2 linked regions of the Pelodiscus sinensis genome follow. The protein of the gene in region 2 interacts with the protein of the main gene of each other region in a pairwise test. Links are inferred from orthologs where the notes say so. Each region holds a gene or a part of one and is shown on either strand. Other genes may lie near its edges.

Region 1 (7,557 bases), on a different chromosome or scaffold from region 2:
TTACCACAAGGCTAAATTTGGGCTAAGATAGCTGTGTCAGACTATGCTCAAAAACACGAATCTCCTAACTCCTGACCTTGTACACGAACACAAAGACAATCTCTTCTAGTATAATATGTGTAAACTGTATGCATAATACTTTCTAACATGGAGTCCTTCAACAAAATGTATAGCACCTACAGGGTGTGACTGCACAGCAGGGCTTAACTCGAAATAAACTAAGCAAATTGAACTACGTCAATTGCATAGCTTATTTCAAAATTGGGAGCATCTACACAACACTTATTTAGAAATAGAGACTCTTCCTCCGACTTCCCTGTGAGGGGGGTGCGGTCTCAGAAGACCCCTTTTGGTGCCTCCCAGGGTGCTGACACGGCCACTGCCACTCGCCTTCCCACTCTCTGGGGCTCTTCACTGCCTGGTCCTGCCAGGCCAGCTCCCTGGTCTCCCCCAATCACGGCCCTGAGCTGAGATCTCTGACCCCCAAGAAGCAGTACAGTTACTGAACCTCTTCAAGTTTGATTAGAGTGCAGTTTAGGGCCCAGCTCTTGGGATACCACTCCCCAAATGACATCAAACCCCAAAGAATTAGGTAAGTCACCTTTAACAATGAAAGGGGGAATGTGCACACTGATTGCTCTCCCATGTAATAATTGCTTACACTGGGTTTGATAGAAAATAAAAGTGATTTTATTAAGTACAAGCAGTAGGATTTGAGTGGTAATAAGCGAGAACAGGCAGAGCAAAGTAGATTACAAATCAAAAGAAACAAAAATGCTTGGCTAATTCTACCCTGGAACCTCAGTGCAAACTTTTCAAACTCACCCTAAAACATCTTTTCCAGCTGCCCTTGCAAATCAGGGCTGTCTCCCCACCCTGGGGTCTTCGGCTCCTTCCTGCAGGTGCAGCCCAGCCAAAAGACCAAAGGCTCCTGCCTTCCTATTCTTTTTAAAGCATTCCCTTGTTCTATGGGGAATCCCTAAGGACTACTGCTAAGCCTTAAGGACAAAAGGCTATTTGCATATTACTGCTGAGACACTGGGGTCCCAATTGATGGCTTTCCATTTACACATTTAAAAATCATAAAGTATACCCTACTCCATATGTCTAATTTTACACACAAAAATGATACACACATCAAAATAAGATAAACAGAATCAGCTGATCATGACATGAAGATTGATAGGTTACATGAAATAATTTGCTCCAAGCACCTTTGAGTTATTTATATTAATGTTCTTTGGGGGGGGGGGGAGGGGGGGAAGGGATGTCCATCACATTCCCTTACTCCTTGTACAATGAGGGTTGCAGGAATCAGAGTAAGAAGTCCTCCAGCATGACAGTATTTTGACTTTATTTTGAAATAACTGCCTGCTGTGTAGACATGGACTAAGTATGGACGAAATAATGTGGCTGTGTAGACGTACCCACAGTTTTTGGTCTGATTCTGCAGTTTCTCCATGTGTGTCCCTTCCCCTGATGTCAATGGCAGCTGTTTGATATGAGAACTTCAAGTGCAGCCTGTAGATCCTAAAAGCATCGCTTTCCATTCAAATAATTGGACAAATTGGTGGCAGATATGACACAAATTACAAGACACTATCAAATACATTTGCTACTGGAAAACATATGTGCCATACAGTGAAACATATCAAAATTATTTTCTCTACATCTGTGACAATTTGGCACAATACCAGTTTGCAATGTGAGACATCTCTAGGCACAGAGCTACTGGAAAAGTTCTTGAAGCATTTTTGAATTCTTTGTCTTGAACCAAAATGTTGCTCTTTCCAGTTTCCCCCCAAATATATGGAATTTTAACAGTCCAAAGGCAGCATTAATTGTGATCTCACAGTCTAATCTCTCCCCAAATTATTCCTGACCAAAGCAGGAGCATGTAACTGCTGTCCATAGCCTCATAGCCAGAACAAGGAGTATATGTGCCAAATTTCACAGATCATGCTTCTGACCAGCCACTAGAATGGCCTGGTTCTACTTGCCAAAGAATACTTGCAAAGGCATCCTCTCCATGACTTTTTCTGAGATCCTTAACTGATGTGAAAATTTACCACCCCATATTTTCCCAACTCCACTCAGTTTCCTTTGGCATCTCATCAGGAGCAAATGCCACACACAGTCTAACACCTAATATCTCCTGGGTTTTGTATGCCTTCACAATGATTGTACTCTCTGCTTGCCTTGTTTCAAAACTGCAAATACAGAGGGAGGACATTTGATTCAGTACATTGAGCAAGCAGAGTTTCCCCCCTTGCTGAGAAGGAACCAAATATATCTAGCCTAAGTGATTCTTGCCAGGTTTTTTACTAACCTCATCTTAAAAGCTCCTAATGACAGGGATTCCACAGTGCAAATAATTCACTGAGCTTCATTCATCTTTATTTATGATAAAACCTAGAGGTTGAAACAACTGAGGCCCCATTGTATTCACTGTATGAATGCATAGAAATGGGCAGTCCCTGCTCCATTTCCCAGTCAAAACAGATTAGAGAGACAAAATGTGGGAGAGAGGAACTATAATTACAGATAGGGAACTGAAGCGCAGAAAAGTGATCTGTCCAATGAGACCCAGGAAACTTGTCACAGAACTAGGGGTAAAGCCAGGTTTCCTGAGTCCCTACTTAGTGCCTTACCTCAGGGCTATCCACTCTCCAAGACTATCTTCCCTTCTAACATTCCTTCTTCTAACATTGTTGTTTTGAAGAATCTCCCTGATCATGAGCTTAAAGGGAATCCAAGAAGAATAGAGAAAGTGCTAAGACTGAAAATCAACCACTTGTGCTATTTTTGTTCGAGTCTCCCTTTTCATCCTTCTGTGCAATCCAGGTCAGGATGGATCCAACAGGATCAAGGGGTTGGGTGCATGATTTTATGGGACTGCTGCATCAGTTTGCATTATGATCTGGATTTTTTATGTGCACTGGGAGTTTTTATTTCCACCCTTTATTTTGTTTGAGTGGGGTTACATTCAGATGCCAGTTATGCGTTTTTCTCATGATATTAGGCTGGGGTGCATTAGGATCTAGATTTTTTTTAGTGGAATAGGAGTGGTTATGCTTATTTTCCAGTTAGATCTCCCCATCCCCTACATGAATGTTGTAAAAACCTGGATCTGGCTCCAGCTGGATTTTGGGCATATTTGATATCAAGTCCCACATTCTACTATCTGCTTGTTTTTTTGGTGGAGTAGGAGGAGCTACTCTTATTTCTTCTTCCTGCTGTGGTTTTTTTTTTTTTTTTTGAGGAGAGTAAGGGCTAAAAGTGGATGGATCTGGTAGGATTCAAATCCATATCTGGGGTTTCGTAATGCTCTGCATAGTGAGCAGCTAGACTTATTTCTCTGTAGGAGCATTACAATTTGAGGCCAAAGTTTGGCAGGATTCAGGTATTAGATCCAGGGTTTTGCAATGTTCCTACTCCAGGGAGCACTGAATCAACAGTGTGTCCTTGTAGTTAAGAAGGCTAACAGCATATTAGGGTGCATTAGGAGGAGCATGCCAGCAGATCTAGAGAAGCGATTTTTCCCATTTATTTGGCTCTGGTGAGGCCACATTTGGAGTGTTGAGTCCAGTTCTGGGCCTCCCACTATAGAAAGGATGTGGATGCATTGGAGAGGGTCCAGCAGCGGGCAACCAAAATGATTAGCGGGCAGGTGCACATAGCCTACCGGGAGAGGGTGAGGGATTTGGGCTTATTTAGTCTGCAGAAGAGAAGAGTGAGGGGGGATTGATAGCACCCTTCAACTTCTGGAAGGGAGGTTCCAAAGAGGATGCAGAGCTGCTATTGCCAGTAGTGACAGACGACAGAACAAGGAGCAATGGTCTCAAGTTACAGTGGGGGAGGTCTAGGTTGGATATTAGGAAAAACTATTTCGCTAGGAGAGTGGTGAAGCACTGGGATGGGTTACCTAGGGAGGTGGTGGACTCTCCATCTCTAGAGGTTTTTAAGTCCTGGCTTGACAAAGCCCTGGCTGGGATGATTTAGTTGGGATTGGTCCTGCCTTGGGCACGGGGCTGGACTCAATGACTCCTGAGGTCTATTCCAGCCCTAGGATTCTATGATTCTAGGGTGGATTGGATTTCCCGCAAACCCCCCCCCCCCTCCAATAAGAGCAGTAGGGCTGCTTTTCTGTTATGAAGCAACACATTGGGAAATCATGGCCAAAAACCAGCAGGAGCCAGGTAGATCCAGCTGTTCACTGATGTTGTGTGCCACACTTATTCCTTGATTCCATTTGAAATTCCCAGTGCCTCTTGAGCGGCATAGATTTTCTTTAAAAAAGACAGCCCTCGGCACGGACCCGAGCTCTCCCTTGTATTAGCCAAGGTATGTATTATTCAACTCTGGCATATTTCTTTCAATAATTAATATATGACCACAAAAAGAAACAATGCGGGCGGGGGGGGGGGGGGGGGGAGATTGTAAATTGCTTAATGAGTGCAAGGAGGGCTGTGGCCGCTAGGGGCTGGCCGAGAGCTGGAAAGCCCAGGGAATAAATCAGACCTGGCGTTCGTCCTTCAGTGGCACGTAAACACAGTTGGGAATCGGGCAGCAGACGGCTGACAAAGGGGGCGAGAGCGCGGGAAAGAGCAACAGTTCCTGCGCCCGCAACTCACTGAGGCCAGAGTTAGCGGGAGCGCGGCGCAGGGGCTCGGGAGCGCGGGCGCGAAAGCCTCGCGGGGGGTCGGTTGTGTTGGGTTTAATTGCCTCGCTCCTCCTCGCCCCCGCCCTCCAAATAATAGCAGCAGCAACAACAAGTGGATGCGGTGTGCGCTGGACTGCGGGGCGCTCGGCTGCAGTGTAAACGGGCGTGCGAGGGGAATTGCCACCAACAGGGCGCCTCCTGCTATCACTCGCCAGTGCTCGGCTCGCACAGGGATTATTCCCCGTTGATTTCACCCTCCCGCCAGCGCCCGCTTTGGAGAGACAAGTGATCACACACACACACAAGCGTGTCCTCCCGCGCGCGCGCACACACACTCTCTCACACACACACTCTCACGCACACACACACACACACACGAATCCTCTTTTTTGTTTCCTCCTGGAGCAAGATTCTTGATTGTTGCTGTTTTGCTAAGCTCTGGGCTAAGAAGTGACCGTCGCTGACCAGATTTCTCCAGAGCTGGGCTCCCCATCTGGCTCCCCCTGGGAGATCTGCTTGTGTACAAAGAGAACCGAGACAAATAAGTCATCCACCTGTAGTTTTGGCTGCCCCTACACCTGCAACCCTAGGCTGCTTAGTTAGCACCGTCCCCTTCTCAGGAGCTCTTTCTCCACATCCTTGGACGAGCCAGAAGAGCGTTGCTATTTCTCTGCCTAGGAACAGTAAGTATAATAGCATTTTTCTTCCTGCAGCATATTCAGAAAGGGGTGTGTGCTGTTTTTAGGGGTGTGTGTGTGTGTGTGTGTGTTTGGGTGACCGTGTGTTGTTGCTCCAGGAAGCTACAGTTTGTATTTTTTTGTCAGACAAGCATGGATGTTGGTCACTGGATATGCCCAGGTATGTACCTTTTACTAAGTGACAGTTTAGTAAAAGGTGCATTGTGACTACATCACAAGTTAGATTTGAAATGTACTGTATCATTCCTGCAGTTAATTAAGTTCCCAATATGTAGCAGAGCTATTTTGTATACATCTCCGTGTCACATTTGATATACGTAGAAGATTTTATACATACAAATACAGTCTATATGTAAAGTCTTGCAAATTGTGACTGCCATGTACAGTAGTATTGATGTGAATGTTGCGCTCTCTCCTAGAGTTAGGAAGATAAAACAATTACATACTTAAGTACACCTATATGTGTATACACACACACACTCGTATCTGTACACACAATCATAGAAAACCTATGGGTGTATGGAATGAATGTGTGTGATGTATTAATGTGAAGGGGGTGTGTGTATGTGTGGCTGAACATCTTAGTAAATGACACAATTTGCATTTGACCTACACTGTGGCATCTTAGGAAAACGAACCAACCTTTTCTAAACCTTTCTGTTTTCTTTGTTATTTTTGTATGTATGTGTGTTTGCTGCATGTGCCTCAGGTTAAGTGCTTCTTCTGCATGAGCATAACCAAAGGGTGATCCACTCTCTTGTCCCCTATGGAGTCCTCCAAGCCAGTGTTGCAGCCTTCTCCTCCTCCTCTTGCCACTGCAGCTACTGCCCTGGCTGCTGCTCCGAGGTTTGAGACTCTGTTGACAGGCTGAAGAAAGAGGGCTTGCAAAGACCTCCTCACTGTGTAAACAAAATGATGGCTGGAAGTTACTTCAACTCCCTCAATATCATTATTAAACAGTAATCATATTGCTAGACCAAAGCATTACTTGGAGAAAATGATGAGAAAAGAGACTATTTGCATTTGGTTACAGTGATAAACTAAAGACCTGAAACTTTTCTTTGTCAAGAAAACAACAGGACAGTTACCTCGTTTTGTATGAACACTTGGCTCTTTATTGGGTGCAGTCCTTGGAGCTACAACAAAATCACACATTTGAAAAGATGTGTGGATTCTGTATTGGCCACTGAAGTATCATAAAAATAAAGAGGCTTGCCTGATGAAAGGATGAGGCCTTGACTCTTTCTGAAATCAAAACTGAAGGCTGCATCTTTTCTTTTATTTTTTTTTGTGAACAAAACACGGTTATATTTGTCAGACATCCTGAATGATAAGAAAATGCAGATTTTGTGGTGGTTACAATTTCACAAAACACAAATTCAGTTTTACTAATACCATCATGTACTGTGCTTCCAAGAAACTGTCCTCCAAATGCAAATGGCTTTGAACTTTCCCTCATAAAAGTCAAGGTGTGACTATAGATATCCCAGACTATTTTGTATTAAACAAACAGTTACAAAATGGAGGTTGCAATGGTGAGTGCAGAGAGCTCTGGCTGCAACAGCCACATGCCCTATGGATATGCTGTCCAGGCTCGGGCTCGGGAGAGAGAAAGACTGGCACACTCGAGGGCAGCGGCAGCTGCAGCTGTGGCAGCAGCAACAGCAGCAGTAGAAGGCGGCGCCTCGGGAGGAGGTGGTCCCTATCATCACTACCACCAGATACAGAGTCGGGGGGCTTCTTCTTCTCACGATGGCAATGCACCACATAGCAGTTTGCCCTGGCATCAAAGCAGTAGAAGGAGAAAGCGAGGGAGAAAAAGGAGCCACTATTTGAGTAGCAGGGAGTGTGGGGCCTCCTTCCTCTGTTCTGAGCTGCTGCCTCTAAGTGGCTCTGAAGAGAAGATACTGAAGGACTTGAGTGAGGAGGAAGAGGAGGATGAGGAGGAGGATGAAGAAGATGAGGAGGAAGGGAAGTTCTACTACAGTGACGAGGATGAAGTGGATGAATGTTCGTATTTGGACCACCCACCTGATGATGGTGGAGGTGACGGCGGCCCTGGGGGCTACAGCACAGTGCGCTACAGCGAGTATGAGTGCTGCGAACGGGTAGTGATCAATGTATCAGGACTGCGGTTTGAGACTCAGCTGAAGACCTTGGCTCAGTTTCCTGAAACATTGCTGGGGGATCCGGCAA
Region 2 (7,575 bases):
AAAGTATGATTCATGGATTTGTCATTTGCTGGAATAATTCCTCATTCTTCAGTTGCCATTTTCAACAGATGTTCTTTGTCAATTTTGAAGAGCCTCCATCCTTCCTCAGAGGACAGATCAGAAGCACCTCTTCTTTTGTAGAACTTGATAGAAGGTTCATTCCATTCTGCCACTATAAAGTGCATGCTGCTACAGCGGCATTTGAGAGCAACCTACAAACACATGACCAGTATATTTATTAGGTGTGTAGCAATTTTATTAATTGCATATGGAAATCTATTCCTCCATTACCGATAGGCAAGTCTCTCCACACATCATATTGCTGAAGTGAAGACTGCCATTAATATTGGCAGCTGTTTTAATCATAGCAATTTCCTTCAACCCACCTTGGTCTCGTTGGGCACAATGGAGATGAGGGACTGTCAATTCTGATTCTATGAAGTACTGACAGATACTAAACCAGTAGGATTTTACAGAATTTGATAAACCTACCCCATATGTCCATTTGTCCCTTTTATTACCATAACTGAATCACTCATTTTCAAGTACTATTGAAGGGTAATATTAATTGAGCTAAACAGACTTGCTTCTCTGCTGTGGTCTTCTTGTGCTAAAAATCTGACAGAGAATGGAACTATTTACCTGACTCAGATTCTTCAGAATTTCTGAACCAATGCCAAGTCCTAAAAAGTCAAGAAAGGTTGGTTGTAATTTTTAAAAAAAATTATAGAACAGTCCATTTTGAAGCTATTTGTTAAAATATACCTCTGAACTCTGACATTACAAAGAAATCTTCAAGGTACAGCAATTTTCCAATCCAAGGGTCATAAGTGAAGTAATACATGGCAAAACCCACAATAAGATGTCCTGTAACAAAGAATTACATCAGCAAAAATACCCTTAAATTTGAAAAGCAACAAGATTAGTATATTTCAACTTGCATGCATACAACCTAAATACCTAGGTTTCACATGCAACCATTAATGTATTAACTGTCATAAGCCTGGTTCAAGGATGGAAGTTTGCAATAAGCATACTGAGTTGTAGGTAAAACAGGAATTCTGATAGCTTGAGATGTGTTGTGGAATGAAGATTATCTTTCTAGCTCTTGGAAGGCAGTGTTTACGGTTATAGCGAACAATGAACATCTAAGGCTTTCTGCTACAGACACATTATACATACCCTATTATCAGTATGTCCACTTTGGAATATAAAACTGGCTTACATTTAACACGGCAGTTCAGAATATGCTGGCACTTTGCTCAATTCTGCTTTCTTAAAAATTGTAACACAACACTAACAGTAAATCTAAAAACTACACCTTTAAAAGACTGTTTTCCAATCAGTATCTCTCAAAAATTACTCAGTGGGAAAACCAGGAGTGCTCCCAGGAAGCCATAAGTTAACAATGGCATCTCCAGCACCTCCTTGGATTGTGTTCCCATTAACAAAGTGACAGTCTGTATCCTGGGCACCAGAAACATATCTACTTTGGCCAACAGCTTTCCTTGTTTGCTTGAAACAACTCTATGGCTCACTCTGTAAGAGTAGCCAACTGTCAGGTGCAAAACTGGTACCCTCTTCCAATATCATCCCACTCAGTCCTAAAACCTTGAGACTTCAAATCATGTTGTTAGCCATAGTAGTTTGCACATACTCATAAAAAGAGAGTGCATACAGGATTTCTGATCTACCGTGTGTTTTTTGGTAAATGTTTGGGAATAGTACTTGTCCCTGTTAGACCTTACCTCATGTATCATGATCATCTACTTTATTGTGTAACGGATCTTTTAGTTACCTCCCCGCCCATCCATGTACACGGAAGGGCCATGTACATGGCGAAGCTAGAGACTGTAACCTGAAGATTGGGGACAAATTAAAGAAAAAATGTGATTCAACAGGATTACATTAAGGGAAATTAGGGTCAAACAAGAACAAACTAATTAAATGGAATTACTGTGTATCATATATATTATACCTGGTCTCCAGTGTCTTCAAAATGGCTGATCATTTTAGAAAAATATCACAACTCTTCAATATCAATAACTGTATTTTAACTTTCTTCTTATCCAAATTCCCAGCTGGGGCTTTATGTATAATCAGCAGCTTTAAATAATGTGTTACATACATCCTGTGCATTTCTTATTTTAAAAGAGTAGCAGGAAATCTTACCTTCAGCGGTCCACTGTTCTTCTGGAACTTCTGCAACAAGACAGTGGTAGAAAGGGTGCTCACCAAAGCCATCTTCAAGCAGATCTACAAAATGACAATAGGCTGACGTGTATTAAATATTAACAGTAGTAGGACTACACCACACCAAACTCTGAGCAGCTCATGTTACCTTTTTCAGTTAGGACTACTTGATCCTCCATATCCTCATATTTAGCTAGTTCCTGAAAAAAAATACATGCACAGATATACATTTATTTCCATGCCTCAAGGAGGCATTTCTTATCCAAGTGCTATTTATACACAGCAGAGCAGAGAGGCAGCCACTTGCCCGCTGCCAAGAGCGAAGAGCCCCCGCGTGCCCGTGAACTGAACACAAACAACTTGTTTTTGCCAAATTAGGAGTTCTTGGTTCTGGGCGGACAAAACTGACACTGGAGGAGTTTCGAGCCCCCCCCCCCCCCAAACCGGGGCAAAGGTCCTGGGTAGGAGATTTAGGCAGAAAACAAATTTTACCCCCCCCCCCCCGCAGCAGCAACCCCCCCCCAGTAAGCCCCGCCCCGCCGCACCCATCCCCCCGCCGGCGGCACCTTGATGAGGCGCAGCAGGTCGGGGCAGTCCTCGGGCCTTGCGCTGCGGATGCGGAACGGGGCCATTTTCGGCGGCGCTTCCCCCTGCGGCCCCCCCGGCTGGCGAGTCCCCGGTACGTGAAGAGGAGCAGCAGCCGCTTGTTCATTCGTGTGCCCGGCGCGGCGGCTCAGTCAGGCTCCGAGCATGACGCGGACACAGGACCCGACCCGACGCCGATTCCCCCTCTGCGCCCCCGCAGCGCCGTGTGGAGGCGGCCGGCCGCGCGGCCCCTCTATATATCGGCAACAGGCTCCGCCCCCCCGCCAATGGCCTGCCCCCCCGCGCAGATCCTCGGCCAATCACTGCGCTCCTGACCCAAGCATTACCTCACTCTTCCGGAAAGGGGCGTGTCTTGCCGGCTGCAGGCCCCGGGCGCGCGCGCGGACGGCAGCGCCCCCTGGCGGGCAAAGGCCGCCCTGCTCCAGCGCCAGCTCCGCGGGAGGGGGAGGGGTGAGAGGGGAAGTGCCAGCCCCGCCCCAGTGACTCCGGCCCTGGGAGACGCCCCCCCCCCCCCCCGGTGCCAGGAAAATGGCCCTGCCCGGGGACACTACCCGCTGCCCGCTCTGCAGCCCCACCCATTTTGGCCTCCCCCGGGCTGGGAAGCGAGGCTTCCCTTCCCCACTTGCACTGGCACCACCCTGCGCTGGGGGGAGAGAATAGAGGCTGGGACCAAGAGATTCAGCAGGTGGCATCTACCATCTCACAGGGACCTTGAAAGGTCATTGAGTCCAGTCTCCTGCCCTCATAGCAGGACCAAGTACCATCCCTGACAGATTTGCACCAAAGCCCTAAATGCCCCTCCCCCGTAAGGATTGAACTCTCAACCCTGGGTTTAGCAGGCCAATGCTCAAACCACTGAGCTATCCCTTGGTGGAACAGGTAGGTGGGGTACAGAGATAAGGACACCAGCCCAGGGTGCAGACTGAGGTGCGGCTGGGTTTGAAGGCAGGGAGTGGGCTGAGGGGTGCAGACTCCAGACAGCACTTCCCTCAAGCAGCTCCTGGAAGCAGGGACGCATTCCAACTCTGGCTCCTAGGTGGAGGTCCAGCCAGGTAGCTCTGCTTACTGCCCTGTCCACAGGACCAGGTGCTACCCAACAGCTCCCATTGGCCGTGATTCCTGACCAATGGGAGCTGCAGGGTCAACTGTTGGGTCAGGGGCAGCATGTGGAGCTCCCTGGTTGCCTGTATGCATAGGAGTTGGAGGGGTGACATGCCCGTGCTTCTAAGAGATGCTCAGAACCTGCATTTCCACACAGCGTTGCTGACCAAACTTTTAACTGTCTGGTCAGCAGTGTTGTCTGGAGCCATCAGGGATTCCTTTCAACCTGGCATTTTGATCAAAAACTGAACACCTGGCAGACACTAGAATTCCCTTCCAGTGCCAAAAGCACAGGCTCCTTAGAACCACAGGAGACTCTCTGCCAACTGCTCGTAACAGTGTCAGGTCCAAGAGTGGGGAGTTATATGGACCCAGGGTGCCTGGGCCCCAGAAATATTCAGAGGTCCTGCTTCAACAAAGTTTGGGGCTGGGTTTTCCCCCTGGTGGCACCTAGCCTTCCACCTGCTTCAAGTGCCCCTGCTGTTAGTGAGAGTTGCGGGAGTCATGCCTGCCAGCGTGCCCCCCTGCTTAGAAGCTACTGCCGGAGGAGGTGCCTTAGATAAATGCTATATGCCACCTCTCTACCTACATCCTCTTCTGCCCCCAAACATCCTCCCAGAGCCTGATACCTCACCTCTTCTACACCCCAATTCCCTGTGCAAGTCCAGAGCCTGCACCCAGCACCCAAACTTCCTCCCATAGCCTTAGGCAGGTGGAAGAAGTGAGTTCTGGGCACCAACAACATTTCTACAAACTTGCCACCCCAGCCCAGGGAGACTTAACAGTGAACAACTTGTGAGGGGAGAGGAAATGTTTATCTAAAAGCATCAACCTCCTATTTTCCTCCAATGAAAGTGCCACAGATGTCTGTAATAACAGCATGCAGCACACAGAGGACTTTGATTTGTAAAAAGTCTCACTAGAGAGTGTTAATTAATACAAAAGACTGCATTTATGGGAGGGACACCAGGGCCTTCCACACGTTACCTTTCATGTGATTCCATCCTGCCCTCAACCTTCCTCCCCCCACTCTCCTCGTGTCCCATCTCAGAACCTCATTATCTGGTGATAATTTTATAACTGGTGTGTGTCTGTTGAATAGATGAAGTTGTTAAATGATGATCTGGTTTCCTAGTATCATCTGTACTGTACTTCCAGATGTCAGTGAGAATCTAGAAGTATCCCACAATGGAAATTTCTTAAATGAAAGACGATGGGAAGGATAATCTCCCTGCTTTCTTTTAACACATTATAAGTGCCTCCATCTTGGGAAAACTAAGCTTCCACCACCAGGAGTGGCCCGAGGTGGGCTGCGGCAGCTGGTGCCCCAGGCAGAACATGCGATTGGCGCCCCCGCCTGCAGGGCCGTCAATGGACAGATGTCAGCATCGGGCACCCCGGGCGCCCCATTTAAGATGGTGTCCTAGGCAGCAGCCGAGTCCGCCTATAGTCACGGGCTGCCTCTGTCCATCATCCAGCTTGCTTATGGAAGAATCCCAAGCACAGCTACAGTGGGGAGAGGGCTAAGCAGCAGTTCTGCAGAAAAAGACCTGGGGATGAGTGGATGAGAAGATGAATAGGAGTCAACAGTGTGCCCTTATAGCCAACAAGGCTAATGGCATATTGGGGTACATTAGCAGGAGCATTGCCAGCAGATCTATGGAAGTGATTATTTGGCACTGGTGAGGCCACATTTGGAGTATTGTATCCATTGCAGAAGAATGTGAACGCATTGGAGGAGTCCAGTGGAGGGCAACAAAAATGGTTAGGGGGTGGAGCACATATCTTATGAGGAGAGGCTGAGGGATTTGGACTTATTTAGTCTACTTAAGAGAAGAGTGAAGGGGGATTTGATAGCAGCCTTCAATTACCTGAAGAGGGGTTCCAACGAGGAAGGAGAGAGGCTGTTCTCAGGGGTGACAGATGGCAGAACAAGGTGCAATGGTCTCAAACTGGAGGTCTAGGTTGGCTATTAGGGAAAACTATGTCACTAGGAGGGTGGTGAAGCACTGAAATGGGTTACCTACAGAGGTGGTGGAGTCTCCATCCCTAGGGCAGTGTTTCTCAAAGTGATCCACGGACCCATTCTGAAAAAGCTGCTACGGGGCCACTCTGGTTTGTTTACTTACTGGCTCTGCAGCCACGGAGCCTCACTGCTCCCATTAGCTGTGGTTTGCCATTTGCAGCCAAGGGGAACAGCGGGAAGCAGAATGACCTGGGCCACTACTTCCTGCAGATCCCCTTGGTTGCAAATGGGAAATTGCAGCCAATGGAAGCCATGAGGCTCCTTGGCTATGGAGCCAGTAAGTAAACAAAGTGGAGCAGCCCAGTAGCAGTTTTCTCAGAGTGGGTCCATGGACCACTTTGAGAAACACTGCCCTACAGGTTTTTAAGTCCTGGGCTGACACAGCCCTGGCTGAGATGATTTAGTTGTGACAGATCTTGCTTTTATGATCATAACCCTCAGCTTTTATGATCATACCTTCAGCCTCCCCTCAATGACCTTCTGAGGTCTCTTTCAACCTTATGATTCTGTATTTATGTCTTGCTCTTCCAGGAACTAGGAAAGCAAAGATGCGGTGACATCTGGGTTTGATGGAAAAGAGTAAGAGGCATAGAACTGTGTGTGCTATGTGCATCCATTTTTATTTAAATCCCTGCTTCATTGATTACGTCGGTATGTCTAATTTACATGCCTCAGTCGGCAGAGGCATGTAGTCTAGACATGCCCTTGGAGAGGAAAGAACAAAACCATTCCAGCCAGAGATATGTTACTTATGCCACAGGTATCAAATGCTGCAGACTTGTGAGTAAGTCAGCAGACATCTGATCTTTGCCACTTGCAAGGGAGAAATCAACAATCAACGAGACTAGAAGAATCTCTGTACAATATCCAACTCATTTTCCCCATAGCCCATTGCCCATCCCTCTCAGCTGCTTGTGGCTCATTCATCCCCCCTAAGGCCCACTCTGCCCCTCGCTTCTATAGGCCCAGTGGAAAGCCAGACTCAGCCTAACTCAGGACGGTATAGTAGTGAAGCTTGAAGGTGAGTCTTGGGGCATCTGTGCTACTGCTGTAAAAGTTCCTCTGCTGCCACCCTTGAAGTGCCAGAAGAAAGTGAAAGGTGAGCAGGTGTGGGGAGGCTCCTTTGAGTATGCACTGAGTCACTGGCCAAGAAGAGCCGGGACGCTAGCACCACCTGGGCTGGGAGAGATTCGAGATGAGCCCTAGAAAGGGACAGTCCCTACCTAAGATGAACTGCTTCCTCAAAGATGCTTGAGGATCCCTCCTGTTTGTCTCTTCTTTCTGGGGTCCTCAAGCATCTTTGCCCTGCCTCTCCCCACTCTGTGTTAGGAAAAGTCCATTAAGTCAACTGTAGATAGGACAGGTGCATTCCAGTGTCTACTGCAGGGATCTCAAACTCCCAGCCCATGGGCCATCTCCTGCCCCTGCAGAGAGTATGAGGGAGCCTGACTGCTGCTGCCATTCCACACCAGGCCCCACCTAAAGTCAGATCATCTGAGAATGGAGTGCTGTGGGGTGGGAAGAGGGCAGGGCAATGGCAGGAAGGGGCAGGGCTTGGGGAACAGTAAGGAACAAGCCCGCTGGGATTCCCAGGCTGGATTGCGCAACTGCTCTGGCTGGGGATGACCTGCAGGCCTGGAGTTTGAGAT

Evidence for each region. The genes of interacting proteins can lie anywhere in the genome.
Region 1: the proteins of SAT1 (region 2) and KCNA4 interact in binary tests that used the Homo sapiens proteins (3 or more experiments, as listed by UniProt). The link is inferred for Pelodiscus sinensis from reciprocal best matches to the Homo sapiens genes SAT1 and KCNA4.

The regions. Positions count from the first base shown.
Region 1 is NC_134714.1:95,610,494-95,618,050, reverse strand, and holds the start of KCNA4 (potassium voltage-gated channel subfamily A member 4), read left to right. Parts: upstream 1-4,533; 5' UTR 4,534-5,346; intron 5,347-6,070; 5' UTR 6,071-6,881; coding exon 6,882-7,557. UniProt on the Homo sapiens protein: Voltage-gated potassium channel that mediates transmembrane potassium transport in excitable membranes. Forms tetrameric potassium-selective channels through which potassium ions pass in accordance with their electrochemical gradient.
Region 2 is NC_134711.1:205,581,910-205,589,484, forward strand, and holds the start of SAT1 (diamine acetyltransferase 1), read right to left. Parts: upstream 3,019-7,575; 5' UTR 2,826-3,018; coding exon 2,760-2,825; intron 2,394-2,759; coding exon 2,342-2,393; intron 2,257-2,341; coding exon 2,173-2,256; intron 868-2,172; coding exon 766-867; intron 684-765; coding exon 643-683; intron 213-642; coding exon 42-212; 3' UTR 1-41. UniProt on the Homo sapiens protein: Enzyme which catalyzes the acetylation of polyamines. Substrate specificity: norspermidine = spermidine >> spermine > N(1)-acetylspermine. This highly regulated enzyme allows a fine attenuation of the intracellular concentration of polyamines.